Linked DNA regions of Neurospora crassa OR74A. The main gene of each other region encodes a partner of the protein of the gene in region 2 in a complex. Links are inferred from orthologs where the notes say so. Each region holds a gene or a part of one and is shown on either strand. Other genes may lie near its edges.

Region 1 (2,497 bases), on a different chromosome or scaffold from region 2:
AGTTTCTTCCCCGTTCCCCGGTTTTTCCTTTCTTGTTTTTCTTTCTTCCCTTCTTTTCATTTCATTTTTTTCTCGTTTTGTTTGCTTCATTACTAAATATGTCTGTCTTGTTGGGCAACAGTCAGTCAGCCATATTTATCCTGGCATTCCAGGTATCGCTATGTCTACTTTGGGACTCTGGTGGATTGCAACTGGCGTTTCAGGTGTCAATTTTTTTTTTTAGCAGGGGAGCAGGGGTATACGGTTCGTTGTACGCCCAACTCACTTTTCATAGGTGATATGTGAGCCTCGGAGTTATTAGTTGGGGACGTATATTGCATTTCTGTATGCTTTTCAGTAAGAATTTCCTAGATCTGGCCTTCGGGCTGGTTGACTTACAAGCATTACATTGGTAGTGTGAAACGGCATCGACTTCGTTACTTCCAACTTTGTAAATATGTAACGAACTTTGACTGATTGTTGTGGAAGTGTCATTGTTACCATTGCTTCCTTTACCAGAACAAGAATGCGATGTATGTTTTCGATGGGCTTGGCATTTGCCGTAATTGTGCATTTATTCAACTTCCAATGACATTGTATAGCAGATGTCACATGCAATTATCGGAAGTCGCGATATCTTCAAATGTAGATTTATGCTACTTACTGGCTGCGAGTAGACCACCACTACTCTCTTTTCTCCGGTCATCTTTCGCTCCCAATTTTTTTATTACCAAAAACACCTTGACTGCACATGGATATCTTCAAATCTCACCTACACTGCAGAAACGATACCCCGTGTCCCCCGCCATCTCGGTCAACATCCTGAAACACAAAAAGCCTGTGGGTGTAAATTCATTTCATTCATCATCCATTCACAAGGGCCCCTTCTTCTTCTTCTTGTCCCTTGTCATCACCCTCAGCACCACCATTACCACCTCCACCACCTCTTCTTATGGTAATCCACCACCCATCTTCGACCTCGAGTAGCAACGTAGTTTGGTATCAAATTTAATCCTTCCACCCTCCCCCACGCCTAACCAAGAATCCATCTCCCAACTTGGCCCCACCGCAGCCTTCCAGCAAGCGCGCAGATCCTCCCCTGACTCTACTTCCTTCCTTTTTTTCACCATGGTCACAGACTCCTTTGGCCTGACTCCTGAGCTGTTCCAAAAAAATATCACCGTATCCCAAAGTCCCTGCCGCATCCAAAATGCCCCATGACCATCTGCGTCCCAGAAATTTTAGTGAGTGGAGAGAGACGAGCCGATCAATTCGAAATGTATTACAACGACTGAACCGCGAAGTCCTATATGATTTACGTATGCGTTTGGGTATATAGCGTGGGGTATAGATATCGCATTGTGTGTTGGATAAAGAGCAGTTTGTTGGCAGCCGTCAACGAGAAAAGATGGTATGTAACTGAGTGCGCAAATGAGCAATTCCCTCCACGTTGTTCGCCTTGCTTGTGTATGTAGCCATCTGGCGTGACTTTTGAAGGCCGAGCGCTTAGTTTACCCAGTTGCTGCCTTCGAATCAAATGTTCGTGAAACATGGCGCATGTGACCATGGTATCCGAATGCGCTGTGTATCGGAATATGGCCAACAAACGTGTATGGGTTGGGGTTTCAAAGTCCGTCAGTCCATTATTCCACGTAAACGAGCAGCTTTTCGTTCCGTTGCAGTGCAATATCCAGATCTTCGTCGTTCATCAGAGGAGGCTTCTCGCCACTCGCGTCGTCCTTGTAACTTAGCTGAACGTCCTCGCCCTGAGGAATCTTGAGACGATCCAGAATCTTGTCATGGAGAGCTTGGAATGGAATATCAGTGGGTACGCGGATGGCGATGATGTCGCCGTTGAAGTGCAGTTTCACTTTCATCTGTGAACCACCCTGCATAATAGCAGGTGACAATGAGGTCTGTGAAGCCTGCCCAGGTCCCGGAATCTGTTGGCCGTTGCCAATGCTCAGCTGCCTCTGAGGAACACCGAGACCGGCAGAATATCTGTTGCCGGCTGTGCTCTGTAGTGAGAGGCCGTCGGCTGGTGAGTCAGAGGACGGACCAGAGCCTCCAGAGAATCGGTATTCCTCGCGAGCAACGCTAGGGTCGATTTCGTAATCACCCTCTCTAGGAGAAAAGAACTGCTTGACCAGGTTACAGCGGGAGATGTGTGGCGGTTGTTCCAGTAGACTTTTAACGTAAGAGTCAAGGTTGTGGCGGCGGCCTTCCGTAATCGCATCAGTCACGTAATTAACAGGACCGGGCATGTAGGGTAGCGTCCGCTGCTTGCCGCCTGTAGTTCCAGCTTCAAGAGGGAACTCGGTTAGGAGCGCGATTTGGAAGTCGTAGAAATCCTCGTAGTATCGCGAAAGTTCGAAGCATCGACCATCCTCCAGTTCGGCTTCAATAACAAACCAGTACTTGTCCTCGGCAAAGCAGTACCTCGGAACCCTGGCTGCGATGGGTGCGTATAGTGTCGAGGTTGGCCTCGAATAGGATTGTCCTTGAGCCTGTATCTGTT
Region 2 (2,965 bases):
GCGAGACCCCGTCACAGACCGCGGCAAAGTAACGCGATTGATGTCGTGGCTTCCCTAAAGAGGATATGCTCCGACGGGGATCCGAGAGAGATTTATCGTGGGTTTACCAAAATTGGTCAGGGTGCCTCTGGTGGTGTGTATACTGGCCATGAAAGGGGAAGCAACAGGCTGGTGGCTATCAAGCAGATGAACCTTGAGCAACAGCCAAAGAAGGATCTCATCATCAATGAGATTTTGGTTATGAAGGAGAGCTCACACCCCAATATTGTCAACTTTATTGACAGTTACCTATGTGCTGGGGAATTGTGGGTAGTCATGGAATACATGGAGGGTGGTAGCTTGACGGATGTTGTCACGTTCAACATCATGACTGAAGGGCAGATCGCGTCAGTTTGCCGAGAAACCCTCAGAGGCCTTCAACATCTGCACTCCAAGGGCGTCATACACAGAGATATCAAGTCAGACAACATTCTCCTTAGCATGGAAGGCAATATCAAGCTCAGTAAGTTTTCCCCTTCGGGCTTTTTGGGCAGTCTCCGAAAGTTCAAACTTTTTGAGCATTTTCCTGTTCATTTTCCCACCATCTTCAACCCCCAACGCCCATCTGGTGCTGTGACCCGATTCTAACCCTTGTTCTTCCACCATAGCCGATTTTGGATTCTGTGCTACAATCAACGAAGCTCAAAGTAAGCGTACGACAATGGTCGGCACGCCTTATTGGATGGCGCCCGAGGTTGTGACACGTAAAGAGTACGGCCGCAAGGTGGATATCTGGTCATTGGGCATCATGGCCATCGAGATGATTGAAGGAGAGCCTCCCTACCTGACCGAGTCGCCTCTTCGAGCGCTTTGGCTCATTGCGACCAACGGCACGCCGCACATCAAGGATGAGCAGTCACTCTCACCAGTTTTCCGCGACTTCCTCTACTTTGCCCTCAAGGTGGACCCGGAGAAGAGGGCCAGCGCTCATGATCTACTAAGGGTAAGTCTTGGTTCGCCCCTGCATTTTGAATGGCCCTCTGTTTGCGGCTCTTCACCTGCTACGTTACGCTACCAGGCTCAAGGAGATGGTGATATTTCCGCCGGGCACCGAGCTAACTCTTGTAACAGCACGACTTCATGAACAAGTGCGTCGACCTATCAACACTGGCGCCCCTTGTCCGAGCAGCAAGGGAAGCCCGAGCCCAAGAGAAGGCCCGTAAAGGGCAGTAGTGTATGATTCTTCTAGGCGTTCTGTGCTGTACACGCACGCACGAGAGATATTCCCCTGGAGCGTTATTGTTTCACATCCCCCTTTTTGTTCTTTAATTTTTTTTTCTTTTTTTTTTTTCCCCTTCTGGGTTCTAAAGCAATTCTCTTCTGCAGCAGAGATTTGTGGATTAGGTGTGGTTATCAACCCTATCTCTACCTTTACGTGGCCGGTCAGGTCTTGATTTTGCATCTGCTGGAATTTCTTTCTTGGTTCGAGATATCTGTGGGTACCCGACACATAACATATGTACTTCGATCCTTAAACGCCAATTCTTCTAGGACTTTTTCTTTATCTTTGTTCACGAACGAAGGATATTCTGCCCCAACGAGCGAAGCGAACCCGGAGCACACACGTATACACACCTCTACACAGGAGGAAAAAACGAACCGTTGCACAGCGAGCGGAATACGAAATGCAAAGTATGCAAGCAAACAAGCCGAAATCACAGCGAAGTAGGCATAGCACAGCGAGCCGGAGCGCGACGGATGTTTTATGTTTGCTGGTTTCCTCGATACGGCAACGGCCTTTCGAGATACACAGGTAACTGAAGTCTTTGCCTTCTTTACGGGTTATTACGGAATTCGGGTTGGGAAACTGGGAATTGTCAAGAGGCGGAACATCTTTTTTTCTTGGTTACGGATGATATTTATGGCAACTATACAACATGGACGAAGAATTTGAACTGCTGCACCAAGATGGATGGGGCCAGATTTTCACTTCAAGGGCTCACAGTGTGTTTATCAGGTAGGGACGTTGTTGGCGTTTCTCACACTGGCAGGGAAAGGACGTCAGGGACAAAGTGCACGCTTGGAACGGGATGAGGGAGACATGAACGATGGCTGGGCTGGAGAATACAGAAGTATTACTTGAAGTGGACGTTGAGAGACTTGACCCTTATACCCGTTTCCTCTCGATGCGACATTCATGATGTGTCAAATTAAAGAGCGTTGCTTTTGACTTCTGAGGAACCCCGACAAAGGTATGCCACCAACAGAAGCTCCTCGATGCAAGCTGCATCCCACAAGCCGGAAGAAAAAAAAAAAAAAAAAGGAAGAAGACGAAGAATTCCAGTCAAGTCAACACCGGGACTCCAGATCTCGGTCAAAGTCATCATCACCAACCACAACACAGAACTTCTCAAGTCTGCTCGCTCTCACACCCTAGTAACCTCCCTTCTTTCCCTCCGTTCAATCCTTCTCCAAAGTTGAAAACCCCTCCAGGCCGCAGTACACCGCTTCCTTTTCGATTTTCCAATGCCATCCCGTTACGATATCACAGAATACCACACAAAGCATTCAATGGCAGTGAACCCATTAGCCAGTATCATCAGTATACAGCACATACACCCAATCCCCATCCAACTCTCCACAATCACCATTATTAACTCGAGATCAGTAATAGTCTTTTGGGTAACTATGTACATGCCCCGTGTGGTGTACGCATAGTCAAACTCAGTCCCCCCGGCCCCCTGGTCTTTTAGTTTCCTCCTCCTTCCGCTCTCCGTTCGACTTCTTGAGGTCAGGGTCCATGGACCACATCGTCTGGCAAGATCCACTTTGTGACGTCATGATCGATGGAGAGCATGAAAGGAGCACCTACCTATTAGTAACTCAAAGAAAAGAGCCACAGGAACACGATTCAAAAGAAGAGTTGTACCTGTGCTCGTTAGTTTGGATCAAGTCCTTGGTAGTGTGTCGTATTCAAGCTGCCTAC

What was found.
Region 1: the proteins of stk-4 (region 2) and NCU06593 are in contact, whole or in part, in an NMR structure (PDB 2RQW), measured with the Saccharomyces cerevisiae proteins. The link is inferred for Neurospora crassa OR74A from reciprocal best matches to the Saccharomyces cerevisiae genes STE20 and BEM1. Residues at the interface, in NP_011856.1 of Saccharomyces cerevisiae: Asn467, Gly468, Lys469, Phe470, Ile471, Pro472, Ser473, Arg474, Pro475, Ala476, Pro477, Lys478, Pro479, Pro480, Ser481; in NP_009759.3 of Saccharomyces cerevisiae: Tyr164, Phe166, Glu169, Lys170, Ala171, Asp172, His188, Glu191, Trp192, Ile194, Pro204, Leu206, Pro208, Gly210, Phe211, Val239, Gln240, Lys243, Ser244.

The regions. Positions count from the first base shown.
Region 1 is NC_026504.1:1,740,215-1,742,711, forward strand, and holds the end of NCU06593 (MAP kinase activator), read right to left. Parts: coding exon 1,623-2,497; 3' UTR 618-1,622; downstream 1-617.
Region 2 is NC_026506.1:2,075,869-2,078,833, reverse strand, and holds the end of stk-4 (serine/threonine-protein kinase ste-20, variant 1), read left to right. Parts: coding exon 1-502; intron 503-647; coding exon 648-982; intron 983-1,110; coding exon 1,111-1,212; 3' UTR 1,213-2,150; downstream 2,151-2,965. UniProt on the Saccharomyces cerevisiae protein: MAP4K component of the MAPK pathway required for the mating pheromone response, haploid invasive growth and diploid pseudohyphal development. Links the pheromone response G-protein beta gamma subunits to downstream signaling components.